2 linked regions of the Arabidopsis thaliana genome follow. The protein of the gene in region 1 purifies or fractionates together with the protein of each later gene. This does not show direct contact. Each region holds a gene or a part of one and is shown in the gene's direction. Other genes may lie near its edges. The genes, in order: ACS and AT-HF.

Region 1 (10,811 bases):
GACATCTGGTACCTTTATCAATGCATCTCAATTGCTTGTTATTTACCAGTGTGCGTTTGGTTTACATATATTAATCTAGGAAAGTCAAGGTGGACAAATCGGTTTGTCAGTTGATTGTGAATGGGCAGAGCCAAACTCTGAGAAACCAGAAGACAAGGTTGCTGCGGATAGGCGAATTGACTTTCAACTTGGATGGTAAGTAGGATGCGCATTGGGTGCTTTCTTAATCATTAAGATTTCTAATGGAATCGTATTGCTGATGTGTTGTCTATGTAAATGTGGCGTCTCTGTAGCTTATACGCACTGCTGCACTATAACGTCGTGAAATTTTGTAGTAAAAAGTCTGATTTCTATAGATTAGGACTTTTGGGAATAGTTTGTGGAATTACTTCATTGATTTTATATTGTGTAATGGTAGGTAGTTCAAAACATATAATCCACTTAGTTTGCTAAATAGTCCTTTGTGTGATATTCCCTATCTTATTACATCAGCAAGCACTATATAGTAGGCTTTTCATATGTTAAGGTTGCATAAATGCCATATTTGTGTTTAAGACAGTGGTAATATCAAATCATCATAAAGTCCAACTATGCATCAAATGACTTACACACTTGCAAGTATATATGATTCCTTGAAATAACAAATTAAATACTTTGCAGGTTCTTGGATCCTTTGTTTTTTGGAGACTATCCTGCAAGTATGCGCCAGAAACTTGGAGACAATCTTCCTAGATTTACTCCGGAAGAAAAGGAGTTTATGCTTCAAAACTCATGGGACTTCCTTGGCCTGAACCACTATACGTCGAGGTTGATTTCTCATGTCTCAAACAAAGAAGCTGAGAGTAACTTTTACCAAGCACAAGAATTGGAGAGGATTGGTAACAAATGCTGAAATTTCTTATGCTAATAGTATCTTCTTACTTGTTTCCTAGTATTCATCCTCTATTCTTTCCGTGCACAGTTGAACTGGAAAATGGAGATTTGATAGGCGAAAGGGTAAGATTCTCTTCTTAGTCTCAGCTAATCTAATGATTTTATTGACATTTCTGCACATCTGCTTAAGGCAAGGATGTGTAAGCTAGTAATAAACTAAATAATCTGTGCCAATTACAGGCTGCTTCGGATTGGCTTTATGCTGTGCCTTGGGGAATCCGAAAGACATTGAATTACATGAGCAAAAAATATAACCACCCTCCAATATTTATCACTGAAAATGGTATTTACTATCCTTGTAACTCTATGGTACAGCTTAATATAGTACAATGCATAGCGTGTTAAGAATAGCAGTAGTTTTGTTATCCAAAAAAAAGTTGGAAACAATGAATTATTTTGGTCAAATTGAACTTCTATTATATATATCCTGAGGTTAAGGTTTCTTGGTCCAACACGACAGGTATGGATGATGAAGATGATGGATCGGCCTCTATTCATGATATGCTTGACGATAAACGTAGAGTTGACTATTTCAAGAGTTACCTTGCCAACGTCTCCCAGGCTATTGAGTAAGTCAACATTTTTCCCTTCATTCAGTTGTTTACAAGCGACAAAAACTTAGGAAACAGAGAATTTTTATCAAGTAAATTAGTGAGAGTGTTATGTTAATGGCGAAAATTGAAACAGAGACGGAGTGGACATAAAGGGATACTTTGCGTGGTCGCTGCTGGACAACTTCGAGTGGGCGCAAGGGTACACCAAGAGATTTGGTTTGGTATATGTAGACTACAAGAACGGTTTAACCCGTCACCCAAAATCATCTGCTTACTGGTTCATGAAATTTCTGAAAGGTGATGAAGAAAACAAAGGTAAGAAGGAATGAAAAAAGGATCAAAGAAAACTAAAGCTACTACAGCATTTTACATGAAATGTGTTGTGATGTTATAATTTTTGTACCAAATAGATCAATTAGTTCAATAACAAACCAAATCACTTGGGGTGCTCTTTGGTTTTAAACTCATATTTTGACTAAGTGTTTCGTATTACATCGATTTTCTTCTTCTTACCTATCGAAAGAGTTACTTAAGAGTTCAATAGTGAATATTGAAAGAGTTACTTTAGAGTGTCTTAAACGATGTATTAGAGTTAGACTGGTTTAACAATGTTTGATAGTGAATATCGAATTTAGCCAAGAAGAAGGAATCGAAGTCCATGTGTGGAGGTTCTTGGATAGTTAGAGATCACACATGTTCGACTTTGTATCACGCTAGAGATGTTCGACTCTCCAGTTCTAAAATCGAATTGTAGCCAATTTCTCTGGTCGTCACAAAGCCTTAGTGACTTGTGTGTGATTCGATTGATCATATAATTCAACGGCCTCGTTATTGGACGTAGTTGGAAAAGATTCAACCAAACTTTTTTTGTTTTCTCTATTTTGATTGTTCAATTGTTATCATCTCGGTTATACATGTGAACATTAATTACTTACAACTCTTTTGTCTACTTGGATAACAGAATAAGCATGACGATAAGACTGATGAAGCCATTGTTCAACCAGATTCTGTCACATTCTAGGAACCTATGTTGACTGGAGGATCAAGCTTGAATGTTATTTTGTTTTGCATCTAATATGACGACACAACACGCTTTTAAGTTTCAAATTCTCAATAATACTCAAATAAGAAGTTCATATAATTACATTACTTGATTCCCATTATCTTAACTGTTTCCTTTAATTTGAAACTGATCTGTATGCTGCTATGCTTACAGTGACATCAAAAACATTGTTAAAGGTTCTCCTTAACAAGAAAAGCATATAATAGAAAAAGTTAAACAATGAAGTTATATCCTAACTCATCAACAAAATATGCATTCCTTATGTTTCTCAACAGATCACTTTAAACTAAAGGAACAAAGCTAAGCTATATGATTATGGTTCTGGGCATATGAAGAATTCATAGACATAGTTATTATACCGTAACTTATTTTCAATAATTTCATTGCTCTTTCTCAAATAATTTAGTACTCAAATATTTGAACCTAATTGTTTTCTTACTTATCTTGCATCTGCAAAGACGAGTTTTAAGAGTGAGATTATTACTCTTTGAGTCTCGTCTTATTGATCATTTCCTACTATCTTAGTATTTATTTTTGGTTTTAGTTGGATTTCAAAATTATAATCACTTCGTTGTTATGTTAGATTTCATCTTTTGTTAATTAAACATGGTATGATTATTTTATTTTAACATTATATAACTATATAATATCTATAGATACGTTAAAAAAAATCAATTGACTAGCGGTCGAACTTGATAACCTGGAAGGTAGACTAATTTTGAATTTTCAATATTTTTCGTAAATGAGTTGTTTGAATCCAAATATACTATACAATACTCCATAATTAGTAGATAAATTATCCTACACGATTTCAGAAACAATAACTTATATGTTTCTTAATTCTTAGAAACAAGTAATTGACATCTACGCACATGAAATGTCTAATTTTAGATACTTGATAAGATTCATAAGTGGTCCACAAATCAAAAACACGTTACGTTTTTACAAAATCTGCATCGTACTTAAATAGTCCGAGACAAGAACCGTACCACACTCTACCAAGTCACGTTCATGCCAAATACTATGGAAGGGTATATAAGTAGGTGAGCACAAGGCAGGCAAATTTAATAATGAACAAAAAACGAGGAATAATAAAAAAAGGTAATTAAGGCAAAAAAAAAAAAAAAACGAAAATGAAAATAGGATCTCCTTCTTCCCCGATTCTCAGCGTTGTCTCCAGCTCAGGCTCATTGGTGAGTTGACTTATTCTTACGAACACGAACATGTTCTCTATTTAAGAATTTTCAAGTTTTGTTTTTTTTGTCTCGTTACAGTCTTCAAATACGACCCAGTGAGTCGTTTTCGTTTTTTTATTTATTACAAAAATTGGACATTGAAATCGAATCTTATGATCATTGGAATAGGAAAGATATGATCTTTGATTTGGGTTTCGTAAAGTTTCAGTCTTTTTATCTTTTGATGTTCTGATTTTGTTCTTTTTTTGTTCAGGATCCGAAAATTAGTGGATCACTTGGATCTCGAATCCTTCCGGCTACTCAAAGGTGAGGTTTTTTTTTTCTTTCTGAAATTTGATTCGAAATTTAGAATCATGAGTGTAAGAAAATGTTTGAAATTTTCTGTTATAGTGATGATGATATGATAATGATATGATGATGACTGATGAGGGTAAAAGGATAATGATGAATATGCTGTTGATGATGTGATGTGATGTTGATATGTTGTTGATGATTCAGGGTTTAAGGATGAGGTTCTATGTCTTGATTGTTGTTTATTGATATTACCCGTTGGCCGTTGCTTTGAACTTTAGACCGCATTTGTGACCCCTTGAACTTTGAACATGGTGATTACTGGCTTTAAGAAAAAGACAGTGTTGGAGAATTGTTTTGAATATTAAAGATTTGGACTTTATTGATATTTATGTTTTTCAGACTTTTTCGATTTGTTAGGTTATTTATTTGACTGGATTCGTGATGGAGCTGTCCCAATTCTTTAGAGTAACCTGTTTCAGGCTTGTTTGTGTCTTCCTTGATTAGTGTTGGTAACTTTGTTTGAAGTTAAAAGGTTTAGTCTTTGAGACTTCACATTTCACAATAAGTTTTAGTTCATCTTTCGCTTTTCCCCCATAGGTGACTCATAAGTATTTCTTTTCTATTTGAGTTCTTACAGATTTTGGATTACTTTTTGGTTTATCATTGGATTTATTTGGTGTTTAGTCAACAGAGGAAATTCATTTAACAGTCTAATAGTCTTACCGAATTTACCAAAGTATTTTTAACATAAGTTAAAACATTTGTGATTTTGCTTGTTTGTTATGACTTCTTATAAGTTCTAATTGTATGTATATTAGATCATCCCCATCGGAGAATCTTCTCCTCCATAGGAAAATGTCGTCTAATTCCCTGAGGCATGTCGAGTCCATGTCCCAGCTACCCTCAGGTGCCGGAAAGATCTCTCAATTAAACGCCGTCGTGTTAGGAGAATCCCTTGCATCGGAGGAGAATGATCTCGTCTTTCCCAGCAAGGAATTCTCCGGCCAGGCTCTTGTTTCCTCCCCTCAACAGGTCTCTCTTTATACCTTGTAACATCAAATGAGTCCTAGATCAGCAGACCTCATCTTCTCTGCTTGCTTTTATGATCTGTAAATCATCTCTCGTCTTGTTATTTGTATGCAGTACATGGAAATGCATAAGAGGTCGATGGATGACCCTGCTGCTTTTTGGTCTGATATTGCGTCTGAGTTTTACTGGAAGCAGAAATGGGGTGACCAAGTGTTTTCCGAGAATCTCGATGTCAGGAAGGGTCCTATTAGCATCGAGGTGGATATTTTTCTTCTTCTTTTTCTTTGTTCTAATTCCTGTATCTCCTATTAGAAAATGTTTCGTCGTGATGACATGTCTGGGATCATGTATGACCAGTGGTTTAAAGGGGGAATCACCAATATTTGCTACAACTGTTTGGACAAAAACGTTGAAGCTGGTTTGGGTGATAAAACAGCCATACACTGGGAAGGAAATGAACTTGGGGTAGATGCTTCCTTAACTTATTCTGAGTTGCTCCAACGAGTTTGCCAGGTATAAACACTGTTTTTCGTCCTCTCCAACCACCTCTAGAGCTCTTCTTTCTCATTATTTTTCTGGCACTGCATTTTCCTTGTCCTTGTGCTGCAGCTTGCTAATTACTTGAAAGATAATGGAGTGAAGAAGGGTGATGCTGTTGTAATTTATTTACCTATGTTGATGGAACTTCCCATCGCTATGCTTGCATGTGCAAGGATCGGAGCTGTTCATTCGGTAACTTGTGATTTTCGTACATTTTTCTACAATACAACATATACCTAATTCATTAACACAAAACCAGTTTCGAAACTAATTCAATTCTCCCACAGGTCGTTTTTGCTGGATTTTCTGCGGACTCTCTTGCCCAAAGAATCGTTGATTGCAAGCCAAATGTAATACTGACTTGCAATGCTGTTAAAAGAGGCCCTAAGACCATAAACCTTAAAGCTATTGTTGATGCTGCACTTGACCAATCTTCTAAAGATGGAGTCTCTGTAGGTTTGTTCATTCACCAGAATCTGAATTTGAGTGGTTGTTGGTTTGATGGATATATAACTGATGATTTTCTGTGTTTTACTTCTCTACAACCAGGCATATGCTTGACCTATGACAACTCATTAGCGACAACAAGGGAAAACACTAAATGGCAGAATGGAAGAGATGTGTGGTGGCAGGTAACTGCAGAGCAACTTAATAATTGTCAAAATTCCTTCATTGTTTTTTTTTTTCGAATGGTTCTAAAAGTCTTCTGTGGGTGGTGGTGATCACTTTAGGATGTTATTTCTCAATATCCAACATCGTGTGAGGTGGAATGGGTTGATGCAGAAGATCCCCTGTTTTTGCTCTACACCAGTGGAAGTACTGGGAAGCCAAAGGTAACTTTGGTCCTTGGTTAGATTAAATCTTTAGCGTAGATTTTTGATATGTTTCTCTATTAAATATTGGTTTTTGAAGGGTGTCCTACACACAACTGGAGGGTATATGATCTACACTGCTACAACGTTCAAATATGCATTTGACTACAAATCAACAGATGTATACTGGTATGCAAAGACACTTGTCTTGACTGTTAAACTTCCTTACCAAAAGCTATGCTATATAGTGCTAATCTCTTTGCTTTTCTAACATAAGGTGTACAGCAGATTGTGGTTGGATAACTGGCCATAGCTATGTTACTTATGGACCAATGCTTAATGGAGCCACTGTTGTTGTCTTTGAGGGGGTAATCTATTTGAATATATGGTTTTCTATCAGTTAATGTCTTAAATCAATAATTAAGCTCTAGGTCCCTCTCCCATAGTAATACATTAAAGAGCTAGCAGCATTTAAGCGCAAATTGGTTTTACTGTTCATATCTTTCATATGGATTTTGATATTATAATCTGATTTTGAACAGGCTCCAAACTACCCTGACCCTGGACGCTGTTGGGATATTGTTGACAAATACAAGGTTTCAATATTTTATACTGCCCCAACATTGGTGAGGTCTCTCATGCGCGATGACGATAAGGTAAGATATATGCAATCTTTCTGTTGCGGTGAAAAGTAATCAGTATTGTAATGATTTGTAAGCTACGGCTGTATTTATTTGCCCTCTAATTTTTGTATAGTAAATTAAGCCTTGTGTGTGGGATAATACTTTTAGGTCTCTACATCATTTACTAATTATTTCCGTTTCAACTCATTTTAATTGTTATAGTTTGTAACACGTCACTCGCGCAAATCGCTGCGGGTCCTTGGAAGTGTTGGTGAGCCCATCAATCCTAGTGCCTGGAGGTTTGAACTCTAATATCTCTAGATTTATTCCTGCGGTCAGTTGAATGGGAACTATATTTAATGGTTAACCGAATCTTTGATGTAGATGGTTCTTCAATGTAGTCGGTGATTCAAGGTGTCCCATTTCAGATACGTGGTGGCAAACTGAAACTGGTGGCTTCATGGTAACCCTCTACTCCCTCTTTATCTCTCTTAAAACCTCTTGCATGCTCTCTTTCTCTCATGTGCATCAAATTGCATCGCAGATAACCCCATTGCCAGGTGCTTGGCCCCAGAAACCTGGTTCAGCCACTTTCCCTTTCTTTGGTGTTCAGGTATGTGATTTGTAGTGCAAATTAATAATTAGCATATTGCTTCTTTCTAGAGATATTCTTCTTTGGAGAGGGCTTCACTCTCATCTCTATCTCTCTGTGTATGCTGCAGCCTGTCATAGTTGATGAAAAGGGCAATGAAATCGAAGGCGAGTGTAGTGGTTATCTTTGTGTCAAAGGTTCATGGCCCGGGGCGTTTCGAACTCTGTTTGGGGATCATGAAAGATACGAAACCACATACTTTAAACCTTTTGCCGGATATTATTTCAGTGGTGATGGTTGCAGCAGGTGGATAATCTATCTTACTTTTCACAAAAACCAATTTCTAGTTAGTGTGCCATCTTTCAACTATCGCTTAGATAGAGGCGTTTTAATATATTGATAATATCCAAAGTCGGGTGAATTTGACTAAGTTTTTAATAAGTTCTATTTTGTATTCCAGAGACAAGGATGGTTACTACTGGCTTACAGGGAGGGTTGATGATGTTATCAACGTCAGGTAGAACACAAAATCTAAAACGATGTCAATAAATTCCTTAAACCTCCAATATTCCTACCACTCAAATCTATACTTATGTCTGGATTTTTCTCTAATGCACAGTGGCCATCGAATCGGAACTGCTGAAGTAGAATCTGCTCTGGTTTTACACCCTCAATGTGCAGAAGCAGCTGTTGTAGGCATAGAACATGAGGTATGTGGACTGACTATGCATAAGTGGTTGGGATATGAAGCACAGTATGACACTGATAAGAGTTCAAGAAATGACTTATGATGTTTAATTAGTTATCGAGGCAGGAAGAGTCTTCTAGCTCTCTATAACAACCTAGGGTTTCTTCATGGTTCTTGGGTTTGATTTTGTTCTTGATTCCGCGTTCTTCATTTACCAGTCAAATAAAAGCTGAAATCAGTTTGCTTCTTATCACACACCAAAGTAACTAACGGTCAAGGCTCTTGCTTGTATCAGGTAAAAGGTCAGGGAATTTATGCGTTTGTCACTCTTCTGGAAGGTGTTCCTTACAGCGAGGAGCTTCGTAAAAGCCTAGTACTAATGGTCCGAAATCAGGTATGATATATATTAAGGAAAAAGTGAATGCTTAAGCTTTAGAGATGCTAAACTTTTGAGGAACTGTTCTTTGCACACTTCTGATGAGTATCGGTATGAATTTTGCCATTTCCAGATTGGGGCTTTTGCAGCACCGGACAGAATACATTGGGCACCAGGGTTGCCAAAGACGAGAAGCGGAAAGATAATGAGGAGAATCTTGAGAAAGATTGCTTCGAGGCAATTAGAAGAACTCGGAGATACTAGCACACTCGCGGATCCTAGTGTAGTTGATCAGCTTATTGCACTTGCCGATGTGTGATGACTAACCATAGCATATGAGCCAATGGAGAGTAATGGAGTTTTGTGCATCTATATATGTTTTCAGGTGTCTTATAGAGGGAATGGTACAAAAATCTGAAACAAGATTCAGGTGTTTTGGAGGGAATAAAGTAAGCAGACTATATTGTTGTGTTTTTGAATAAAGAAATTTCAGTCTCATGAATTTGGTTTTGGATAAGATGGTCATAGGATTATCAAATTAATTAAAAGTTACAAAAATATAAACATATTGGCGTTTGTTTTAGCTAGTTGTCTTCCTGCCGTGACGCAAGTTTCAAAGATTTTTTTTTTCAGTGTACCAGCTTTTTCTCCTATTAATTTATGTTTTAATAAAAATAAAAAATAGTTTCTATTAAGTGATGTTAATCATTTTTTTAACAGTTCTTACTATAAGAAATATTTTTTGAGATTATTTTTTATCTTGTAGATTGATTTATTATTGGTTAAGTGGAATTTAGAAAATAATAATTTATATTTTAATTTAGAAAAATTTAAATATCAAGTGATTGATTGATATATGGGTCAAATTTTAAATATTTTTAGTTTGTAACAGAGGAAGTATATTTTTTGCGTTTCAAAAATTGCTTTTTATATATAATAACAAGCCTTTTACCCAAAATTTAAACTCTAGCGGAATAATAATACAAGTCACTAAATCATGTTTTTCTAAAGAACTTATCTTTAGAAAACTCACCCACCATTTGACACTGTGATTATGCAGCACCCCCTAAACATAATCTTCCTCAATAAATTACCACAATCATTAACGAAGCTATGAGACCAGATTTTAACCTTTCCTTGACTTTTGAAGAATTGATGGGATTATATATTTATATAAAATTTTCAAAAACAAATTACATTGGTCCCAACTCATATCCAAAAAATTATTAACTTATATAGGTTATTAATTTATCAAGTATTAATTTATAGAGGTTTTAGTATATCACATTTGCCTTCCCTTACAAAGCATGCACACATATACCAAATACAATTGCCTGCAAATAGGGTTCTCAGTCTTTATTCTTGGAGGAGCGGTGTTTTCTCTGACCACTGAGAATACGTGAGATATGTAGACCTCTGCTAAAGGCTTGGTTAAAGAGCATTCTCGTTTGGAACTCCGATATGAATGGGAACCAGGCCATAAACGCTATTGGAATAAACAAGAGAGAACCCATCACGAGGTCGTAGACCCAAGCCAACGTCATCACCCAAGACCATATCCCTGGTTGTTGAATCAGAGGCTTACAAGATTGTGCAATCTGGAAGGAGAACAGTAAAATAATTTAATATGAACACAATCCTAAACATCCTCAAGGATTTGGAAAACCCTAGAAGCAGAATACATAAAAATATCTCAGACACTCAATAAAGACATGTTTTAAAACATTTGGCGAAGTTTGATAGAGCAGGAAGACTTACAAGTAGTAATCCCCATCCAGTTGGGATTAATGCAAGCATGCAGAGGAAGACGTCTTGGGGTAGTATAAGACGACAAGTCATGAGAGTAATGAATATTGCCATAAATGCGAGAAACAAGGAAACCTTGATGATCCTGAATAAAAGTTGGAACTCTGTTCCCAGCCGTCGCCTTGCATAATCCAAAACCTGTGATAGTTGCATTGAAAACAAAATCCATCGCTTAGCACCCATGGATCACTTAACATATTTATATCTAGCATTCAAGGAGACTCGGACAATTTAATCAGTCTAGTATCTCATATAGAAAAAAACTCGACATGAACTGTTCTACATACCGTCACAGTGAGTAAAAG
Region 2 (9,799 bases), on another chromosome or scaffold:
TTCACTGCGACTTGAAGAGCCATAACGTTCTGGTTGAGGAAAATGGCGTTTTGAAAATCGCCGACATGGGTTGTGCTAAATCGGTTGACAAGTCGGAATTTTCCGGTACACCGGCGTTTATGGCCCCAGAAGTTGCTCGTGGTGAAGAACAGAGGTTTCCGGCTGATGTGTGGGCTTTGGGATGTACGATGATCGAGATGATGACTGGATCAAGCCCTTGGCCGGAGTTAAACGACGTCGTTGCTGCAATGTATAAGATTGGATTTTCAGGCGAGTCGCCGGCGATTCCCGCGTGGATATCGGATAAAGCTAAAGACTTTCTGAAGAATTGTTTAAAGGAAGATCAAAAACAGAGATGGACTGTGGAAGAATTACTTAAACATCCATTTCTTGATGACGACGAAGAATCTCAGACAAGTGATTGTTTGAAGAACAAGACTTCTTCTCCAAGCACTGTGTTGGATCAACGATTTTGGGATTCATGCGAAAGCTCCAAAAGTCACTTAGTTTCGATTGATCATGAAGACCCTTTTGCTGAATACTCGGAATCTTTGGATTCACCGGCTGATCGGATCGAGAAACTCGCCGGAGATGAGTTTTCAAGCTTACTTGATTGGGATACGGAAGACGATGGCGGATGGATTCAAGTGAGAGGCGAGAAACATAAAGAAACCGAGAAACGCGACGGCGACGAAGACGTGATTTGCGTTGAAGCAACGTCATCGTCGCAAACGATTGAAGAAGTTGAAGATTGGATTTCGAATCAAGACAGCTTGTTCTCGGAATATTCCTCTGACGACATCATTAATAATTTCTACTCTAATGTTGCTATTCAAGGAAATTTAATTGCATTTCATTATTGTACTGATGAAGATGAAAATGTATCCATAAAGAATATGTTTCGTACTAATAACAAACATTTGTTTTTCAAATTGCAAGCTCATGTTAAATTCACTAACCAAGTCTGATGAAACAATGTCCATGTGTTCAAACTTCAAAATAAAAGAATCTATGTACATTAGTACATTACCTAAATATTTCCAATGCAACATATGCGTTAGGTTATGTGCTAACGATCACTATTGTATGGACTCTAGAAGACAATTCAAATTGCATATTTCAAAGTTGGAAACACAAGTCTTTGTGTTCTTGTTAGAGGTTACGTCAATCTATAAGATAAGATTGACTATAGACGAAGTCAAAACTGTACTTTGTCCAAGATTTATTTACACACGAAGTCATGTCAATACAATTTTGTGTGTGTTTACCTAAACCGCATAAGACCCCGTTATGTTAACGCAGACGACTCTCTGGGAGTACATAATCATAGTCGTAAATTAATTACTAAGCACCAAAATACATATTTGAACAAGTAAATAAAATGATATCTAATAACTTTAGTCAACTTTCACCGTCTGAAATCTAAAAACACACATACACCGACACTGATAATTTCGTCGGTCTTGAGAGTTGATAGTTCTACTCTATAGACATGATTATTGGAGCAGAACATTCCTACTTTGACACCGATACCTAACAAAACAAATTAGTTTATATCAATACCGTACAATTTATTAGGTACCGTTTGTAGAAATTTGTTGAAACATTAATTATATTTTTCTTCCCGTACTTATCCAAATACAACAATTTAAGAATACCACTTAATAGAATGATATCCTTTGGTCGACAATAGCTCTAAATCACTTTCACTTAGTATAAATGTATTATGTATAGTACAATTTTTTTTGATTATTTTATATTTAAGTATTTGTCTTCTTTTAAATCATTAAAACATTGATATGAACTGTTGTAAGCTAATACTATTACAAAATAAAATAAAACCATTGTTTCTTACCATCATTCTCATTGCCACTATCTTTAATATTTCATAAAAGCATAACATATAATAAAGTTTACCTACAAAATGAAAACTGATCACAGGTAGAAATAAGTTCGTTGTGACTTAAAAGTTGATGCTGATGATTGATGAGTCAGTGATGACGTCCTGGTGACATTCATCAAACGCATAACATACCAAAGTTACTTGTCATCTCTTTTTGTCTATCTTTTAGTTTTAGTATGGGTTTGTGAATTGGTGATAGTAGTAAGTGGTGAATGCCCAAATTTGACCACTTCATCGCATAATAAACTTATATAAAACAATCTGATAAAAATATTCACAATTACTGCAATCAAATTCTATGATGAAAATGGTTATTAAGTTTACCTGCAGAAACACATGCTATGATGTTCTCCAATTCAAAATAAATCAATTCAACCGATCCAAAAACCTACATAAATGTTTTGAATTTATGTATGATGTAAATGTAATAGTGTCTTGTTAAAACTAGAGCATGTTACTAAATCATTATATAGAAATGAGTCAGATAGAAGAAGTATTAAAAAGAGTTGACTTGAGAAAAAGGATGGGAACTTGGGAAGAGTTATTGTTGGCAAACACACTCAATAATAGCAAATATCATATAAACCTTTTATTTTTGTCCTTTTCTGTTTTGCTCATCTTTCATGCCTTGCATTAGATGGCTGGAGTTGGTGTATTACATATAAACCGTAAGCCCTTATATCCATTCTCCAATATTTAATTTCATCTCAAATTCAAACTGGTACTGAAAATTTATTATTTCTGTTGTTATTTCTCTAAGAGACTTATCTATATATATATCTCCTATGCATGATATACTATATAGAACTTTCAATATTTTTTTTTTTTTGATCAAAGATTATTTTCTTTTCTTTAACTTGTGTTTTATTAATCACTTTCTATCCGTTGTAAATCATATATATTAAGAGCATGAGTCTAAAATACTCACTTTTGGTGACTAGTAACTTTGCTGTACCTTCATTTTTTTTAAAAAGAGCTACAAGACTCTGTAAGAGTGAAACGAAGCCCAATCCCATTATCTGTTATGAAAAGTTCATAAAAGCCCAATTAATATACAAATTCACTACACGAGGAGAAACGACGTCGTTAGTGGAGTGGTAAGTGTTGACAAAGTGACGAGTGACGACGACCTTTTGAATTAACAATCGAAGCAGTGACTGAGTTTGATATCAATGGAGGCTACGGCGGCGCCATTCTCTTCAATTGTCTCTTCCAGACAAAACTTCTCTTCATCTTCTTCGATTCGCGCTTCTTCTCCGGCTTCTTTATTCCTCTCCCAGAAGAGTATTGGCAATGTTAATCGCAAATTCAAATCTCCCAGAAGCCTCTCCGTCCGCGCATCTTCTACCTCAGATTCTGGTACTTTCTATTGTTTTTCTGTTGCCCTGTTGTACTATATTTGATTAGTCTTATTTATTGCTGAATCTTTCTTCTGTCTCTTTGGTGAGTAGTTGTGACTTTGCTTGACTACGGAGCTGGAAATGTTCGGAGCATCCGCAATGCTCTTCGTCATCTCGGCTTCAGCATCAAAGACGTATGTTTTCGAATCTAAGTTTATTCCTTGTATATGTACTGATCTCTTATTGGCAAAATGAAATTGATTACATTTGGGAACTTGAAATGTTAGGTTCAAACGCCGGGAGACATTCTGAATGCTGATCGACTCATATTTCCAGGCGTTGGTGCTTTTGCACCCGCCATGGATGTACTTAACAGAACTGGGTACTTACTAATCACCTCTGCTGATTTTCTCATTTAGAATAATGTCTTACTTAGTTCTTAATATACGATTTTTGGTTCTTTGATTGTTGCAGGATGGCTGAAGCTTTGTGCAAATATATTGAGAATGACCGTCCATTTCTAGGCATATGTCTTGGTCTACAACTACTTTTCGATTCTAGTGAAGAGAATGGACCAGGTTTAGCTCCGTTGCTCCACTTTATATTATGTCTTCTAGAATTTTTCCCTCGATACATTCAACTACATTATGATATCATGTATTTTTGTACTTAACAACTGTATATGTGACAGTCAAAGGTCTTGGTGTGATACCGGGAATAGTTGGACGCTTTGATGCTTCAGCTGGTATAAGAGTACCCCACATTGGCTGGAATGCTTTGCAAGTTGGGAAGGATTCTGAAATTTTGGATGATGTTGGAAACCGTCATGTCTATTTTGTTCATTCGTACAGGGCCATTCCAGTATGGATCTAAATAATCTCTTCTTTCTTTCTGTCATTTTCGTATCTCTACCATATTGTATTCTCTTCTACATGCATGTGATAATTATAGTTTCATAATTTCTATAGTCAGATGAAAATAAGGACTGGATTTCGTCTACCTGTAATTATGGTGAATCATTTATATCTTCCATAAGAAGGGGAAATGTGCATGCAGTTCAATTCCATCCTGAAAAGAGCGGGGGTATGATAGTCTAGTCATTTTCTGGTGACATCTTTTTTCTCTTATTCAGAGTCTGTTTTCATATTTGGTATCGTACTAATTCTGAATATGGAACATTCAGAGGTGGGGCTTTCTGTTTTAAGAAGGTTCTTGCATCCAAAATTACCTGCAACACAGGTAGATTTCACTCTAGCCATACATGTACAATGTAATTCCTGATTTTTTTGGTGTCTAATGGAAACCACAATTCACTTGAAGACAGAAGCCAATGGAAGGAAAGGCCTCAAAACTTGCAAAGAGGGTAAGAAGTTTGTCCTGTTATTATTGAAAGTCTGCCTCCTTTGCAACATTGCTATCTTTGCTCTTAACTATTCTGGTAGGCAGTTTTTCTAATGATATTTTGTTTTCCTTTAGGTGATTGCTTGTCTTGATGTGAGGACGAATGATAAAGGAGATCTCGTAGTTACTAAAGGGGATCAGTATGATGTGAGAGAGCAATCTAATGAAAACGAGGTTTGTTGAAAATTGTTGCTTCAATGTCATATCCTGCGATGTGTTCTTTGTGAAAAATGAAACATTCTTGATATTTGGATGTTTTTGTGATACGTCCTTATCTTACCTTTAAGCTGTTGGGTTTAGCTAATTATTAACGTCTGTAACAATGCTCTGAATTCATTCCTTTTTCTTGCACAGGTTCGAAACCTTGGCAAACCTGTTGATTTGGCTGGGCAGTATTACAAAGATGGTGCAGATGAGGTATACTTTTACTGTATATGATCTCCTTGCAATATTATGTGAATGGCTCCAAGACACCTTTTTTAGATTTGGTTTGGCGCTTTACCGTGCTGTTTGTGGGTTTTCAGATTAGCTTTTTAAACATAACTGGATTCCGCGATTTTCCTCTAGGGGATTTGCCGATGATTCAGGTACCTAGATTTTTCATTCTCAGTAGAATATAAGTATTACTTCCACACCTTCCCTGTAATTTCCGATTTAGATCTCTTTTCATACTTTATAGGTGTTGAGGCAGACATCAAAGAATGTCTTTGTACCACTAACTGTTGGAGGTGGTATTAGAGACTTTACAGATGCTAGTGGCAGGTACATGTTAATCTTTTCAGCCTGTTTCTGTGAACATGTCTGTGCAGGCATTATGTTCTTTTATATTTCAGCAAGGACTTTGCAATTTTTATTCCCTACAACAATTTAACATCAAGTTAATTTGGCTCAGGTACTATTCTAGCTTGGAAGTTGCTGCTGAGTATTTCAGATCCGGTGCTGATAAGATCTCCATAGGAAGTGACGCTGTTTCTGCTGCAGAGGAGTTCATAAAATCAGGGGTAAGTTTGTAGTTGCCCGTCTAATTTATCCGAGTTGTTTTTCATGCTAGTATCTAAAAACGGAAGGATCATTTTATCCCCATTTTCCGCGTTTTTGTAGGTGAAGACAGGAAAGAGTAGTTTAGAACAGATATCCAGAGTTTATGGAAATCAGGTAATTGCTTACAGATCAGAACAATTGGCTTTCTTTTTTCTTGCTTGCAGAAAATAAAGGGATACTAGTTGCTTTACATTAGGATATTAATATCTTAGTTTTACAGATGGAGTAAACAGTGAATTGACTGTGTTTAGATAGCTGTTTCTCATGTTCTCTAGTTTATGTAAGAAATAGGAAACAGCTTTGCACTTATTTGATAGATTTTTTCGCTCCACAGGCAGTGGTTGTAAGTATTGATCCTCGTAGAGTTTATGTGAACCATCCGGATGATGTGCCATACAAAGTCATCAGAGTAACTAATCCAGGTATGCTGGTATTCTCACCTCTCTTATATTTGCTTTCTCATTTGTTCAAAGGAAAATTATGTAGGCTGGCTATATATCATGCATTAAATGGATTAATTTGAGCTTTCTAATACATTAAAATTACAAGGCAAATGTTATTAACTTATTATTGCTATGTTAACTCAGAACTCTATTTTCCTAACGGACATTATATAATTCATCTTGCGTCAATCTTAGTTTAGCTTTCGTTGAAAAGCCTTGAGCTGCTTGAACTACACAAGCAGCACAGTCACATTGTATAGAGTTTCTCCATAAATTTGCATACATGTAATAACCGGGATGAAATCTTGCTGGTGTTAGGCCCAAATGGAGAAGAATATGCCTGGTATCAGTGCACGGTAAAATTTCGGCCACCCTTTTCATTTTAAGATCGATTTGTATCATTTCTTAACTATTGGTTTCTCAACTAAAAGGTCAGTGGAGGACGAGAAGGTCGACCTATTGGAGCATTTGAGCTTGCGAAAGCGGTTGAAGAATTAGGTGCCGGTGAAATACTATTGAACTGCATAGACTGTGATGGTACACTCAAAACTTCAATCTTTGAATTAGTTTCATGTCTGAAAATTTGGACCACCTTTACACACGATGAGAACTAAATATGATCCACGAAAAACAAAAAAGCACACAACCACCTTTTAAACTACACTGCTGCTGGAGTTAAAGATCAATGTATTATAAGTTTTTATCTCCTTATGATGCCTTCCTTCTCTGCGAGTTTCAGGTCAAGGGAAAGGATTCGACATAGACTTAGTAAAGCTCATCTCAGATTCAGTAGGCATACCGGTGATCGCAAGCAGTGGAGCAGGTACTCCCGACCACTTTTCCGAGGTGTTTGAGAAGACAAACGCATCTGCCGCGCTTGCTGCCGGCATTTTCCACCGGAAAGAGGTAACCGTTTTTACTCTTGTTAAAACCTTTTGCGTTTATACCTGGTAACACTATTATTCTACTATTTTGTATAAAGGTACCAATCCAATCTGTGAAAGAGCACTTACAAGAGGAGCGCATAGAAGTCAGGATCTGAGAATTTTCTGGTCTGCGTGTTACCATAATTCATGACACATTCAACAAGATAGAATCTTTACCTTCAATAAATTAAATTAAGTCGGAACCATCGGAGCTCCAATAGGTCTGAGTGAATCCTCTTATAGTTGATTTCCTTTTGTTGACAGTAAGACTGATACAATTTATGGATTTCCCTTGAAAGTAAGAAAGCAACGTATGTTCACTTTCTCAGCTTTTCTATTTAATACAAAGAAAGCATGTAACTTCTCTCTCGTCTAGATCTTATTAGGAAATCATTCAATCCGAAAAACCTCAAAAGGGTATCTTATTCAGTCAAAATTGAACATATCTGTATCAAACTGTGTAAAAAGTAAGAACGTAGACACTGAGGCCTATTCTTCCAATCCCGCAATACTCGGGAAACTGTAAAGAAACTTGAAAGATAAGAATTGTTGTTACCCCCAAACGTTTTAAAGACACTGCAGGTCTATAACTGGCAAAAGCCAGACACTTTGTGACTCCTCGAAACCAAATCTTTTATATGTCAAGAAGAAGCCTTTGTGGATCCTCCACAACATCCTTGACACGGCGCAGGAAGTACACAGCCTCTCTACCATCAATCAGCCTGTGATCATACGTAAGTGCGACATACATCATTGGTCTAGGCACTACGCTTCCTCCTACTACCATTGGACGTGACACAATCGAGTGCATGCCGAGTATGGCAGACTGCAAAACCACAGGTTACTGTTAACAAAAAACGTGGTTCTGACTGGGACCCGGTGAGATGGGAAATAAATTTAAACCTGAGGAGGATTAATGATCGGAGTGCTTATGAGACTTCCATAGACACCGCCATTTGAAACGGTGAATGATCCGCCAGCCATCTCATCTATGGATATGGTTCCTTCATTTGCCTTCTTGGCAAGTGAGTTTATCGTCTTCTCTATCTCGGCAAAGTTCATTTTATCAGCACCTCTTATGACTGGTACTACAAGTCCCTGGATAAGAGACCACAAGAAAAAAAATTCAGCCTCACATACATGATCGCAATAAGAATGAAATTTAGCACAAACCAATGATAGCTAAAGAATGTGAACTAACCTTAGAGGTACCAACAGCGATACTGATATCCACATAGTCTCTGTATATGATATCATCCCCGTCAATAACTGCATTTACAACTGGTTGATGCTGAAGGGCGCTAACAGCAGCCTGAGACAGATAACGAAGAATAGGGTATTATTTTTGCTATCATTTAACTCTGGCATTGTATTATTAATATCGAAAAATAAGTAAGTGTATACTTTAATAAATCCAGACATAAGCCCCAACTTCACTCCATGCTTTTCATAAAATGCATCCTTGTATTGGGATCGGAGCTTCATCAAATTTGTCCTACACGCAGAAAAGAGCTCCATAATTAGCAAATAAAATCAAACTGACTAGTATAATTCAGTGCACCAAAAGGACTCGCATAACTGATATAGACATATCAACTTGACGGGTTTAAGCTGTTACTCACATATCAACTTCATTGAAAGTTGTCAGCAACGCGAAAGTATTTTGAGAGTCTTTCAATCTTGTTGCAACTCGTTTCCGAAGTCTTGTCATCGGAACCTGCAGTGTTGTTAGATGTCATATCACTGATTATGTGACTGTAAAGCTTTTTATTAGGTAACAAACTAACTTTATTTAACCTCTGATCAGTCATTTAAAAATTTTCAGACGGAAGCCAGGAAAAATGATAGATTTTGCATACCCGTCTTTCTCTTTCCTTAGGAGGAAGCTGCGGTTCTTTAGCAGACTGTTTGGGTGGAGGTGGTGAGGATGGTGCTTTGGGTTTCTCTGCTACAGGAGCACTTTCCACTCTGGGCTTCTGCTTATCTTCAGCAGGAGGAGAAGGTTTGGTATCAGTTGTCTCTGGTATCTTCTGAGAGGGGGTAACCTGAGATGCAGTATCCTCAGACTTTGATATAATAGCGACCTTGGTTCCTGGTTCTACAGTATCTCCTTCGTTGACTAGAAACTGCATTAGAAGACAAAATCAAACAGGTCTAGTCAGTGAAGACTAACTATAGAGAGACACCAGAAAGAGAACAACAATAACGACTGAATAAACAACACAAAGAGCAAACATATTTACCTCTTGGATTACACCACTTGCTGGGCTAGCAATATCTATTGTCACCTAATCCACAAATATGAATCAAATAATAGATTTTAAAATTTAACACAGATGTCTTTAGAAAAATGACAAAGAAAAAATAAATATTGATACCTTATCAGTTTCAATTTGTGCAATAGCCTCATCAGCCTGGACTCTCTCACCAGGTTCTGAAATGTGCCAGCAAATTAACTTTTAGATATATATTCAGACATCAGAAAGAACCGGAAAAGATAATGCAAAAGAGACATACTCTTCAGAAAGGTGGCCAAGGTGCCATCAGTAATTGATTCCCCCATATGAGGCACAACTGCTTCCACGGTATCTCCTTCAGTAACAATAACAAGAAAGCGTGTGAGAAAACCCTACAAATCCAATCAAAGCTACAGTAGTAGCAGATTGCAAAACCATAATTAAGAGATACACGTTTCATAAGAATCTGCATCCGAATGGAATCAAAACTATGAGCTCCTGGATTTCT

Evidence for each region.
Region 2: the proteins of ACS (region 1) and AT-HF fractionate together in Arabidopsis thaliana (co-fractionation; one large-scale study listed by BioGRID). This does not show direct contact.

What each region holds. Positions count from the first base shown.
Region 1 is NC_003076.8:14,533,169-14,543,979, reverse strand, and holds ACS (acetyl-CoA synthetase), read left to right. Parts: upstream 1-3,538; 5' UTR 3,539-3,683; coding exon 3,684-3,743; exon of another isoform or gene 3,744-3,999; coding exon 4,000-4,052; intron 4,053-4,085; exon of another isoform or gene 4,086-4,351; intron 4,352-4,380; exon of another isoform or gene 4,381-4,572; intron 4,573-4,858; coding exon 4,859-5,072; intron 5,073-5,183; coding exon 5,184-5,327; intron 5,328-5,426; coding exon 5,427-5,582; intron 5,583-5,678; coding exon 5,679-5,801; intron 5,802-5,896; coding exon 5,897-6,065; intron 6,066-6,158; coding exon 6,159-6,241; intron 6,242-6,340; coding exon 6,341-6,442; intron 6,443-6,521; coding exon 6,522-6,610; intron 6,611-6,698; coding exon 6,699-6,789; intron 6,790-6,963; coding exon 6,964-7,077; intron 7,078-7,266; coding exon 7,267-7,343; intron 7,344-7,428; coding exon 7,429-7,507; intron 7,508-7,588; coding exon 7,589-7,657; intron 7,658-7,766; coding exon 7,767-7,942; intron 7,943-8,096; coding exon 8,097-8,153; intron 8,154-8,255; and 9 more. Other genes in the region: BGLU42 (beta glucosidase 42), read left to right, coding at 80-195, 661-878, 962-996, 1,114-1,216, 1,394-1,502, 1,621-1,816; GSL09 (glucan synthase-like 9), read right to left, coding at 10,050-10,298, 10,459-10,644, 10,794-10,811. UniProt on the Arabidopsis thaliana protein: Catalyzes the production of acetyl-CoA, an activated form of acetate that can be used for lipid synthesis or for energy generation. May play a limited role in the biosynthesis of lipids.
Region 2 is NC_003075.7:13,512,439-13,522,237, forward strand, and holds AT-HF (HIS HF), read left to right. Parts: upstream 1-2,993; 5' UTR 2,994-3,075; coding exon 3,076-3,262; intron 3,263-3,354; coding exon 3,355-3,437; intron 3,438-3,530; coding exon 3,531-3,625; intron 3,626-3,717; coding exon 3,718-3,821; intron 3,822-3,934; coding exon 3,935-4,104; intron 4,105-4,211; coding exon 4,212-4,326; intron 4,327-4,426; coding exon 4,427-4,482; intron 4,483-4,567; coding exon 4,568-4,606; intron 4,607-4,719; coding exon 4,720-4,818; intron 4,819-4,998; coding exon 4,999-5,061; intron 5,062-5,168; coding exon 5,169-5,231; intron 5,232-5,323; coding exon 5,324-5,406; intron 5,407-5,536; coding exon 5,537-5,645; intron 5,646-5,745; coding exon 5,746-5,799; intron 5,800-6,019; coding exon 6,020-6,107; intron 6,108-6,446; coding exon 6,447-6,484; intron 6,485-6,559; coding exon 6,560-6,665; intron 6,666-6,867; coding exon 6,868-7,034; intron 7,035-7,110; coding exon 7,111-7,170; 3' UTR 7,171-7,429; and 1 more. Other genes in the region: MAPKKK16 (mitogen-activated protein kinase kinase kinase 16), read left to right, coding at 1-968; AT4G26910 (Dihydrolipoamide succinyltransferase), read right to left, coding at 7,689-7,880, 7,958-8,152, 8,256-8,366, 8,459-8,549, 8,677-8,771, 8,914-9,180, 9,298-9,342, 9,433-9,488 and 1 more. UniProt on the Arabidopsis thaliana protein: IGPS catalyzes the conversion of PRFAR and glutamine to IGP, AICAR and glutamate. The glutaminase domain produces the ammonia necessary for the cyclase domain to produce IGP and AICAR from PRFAR.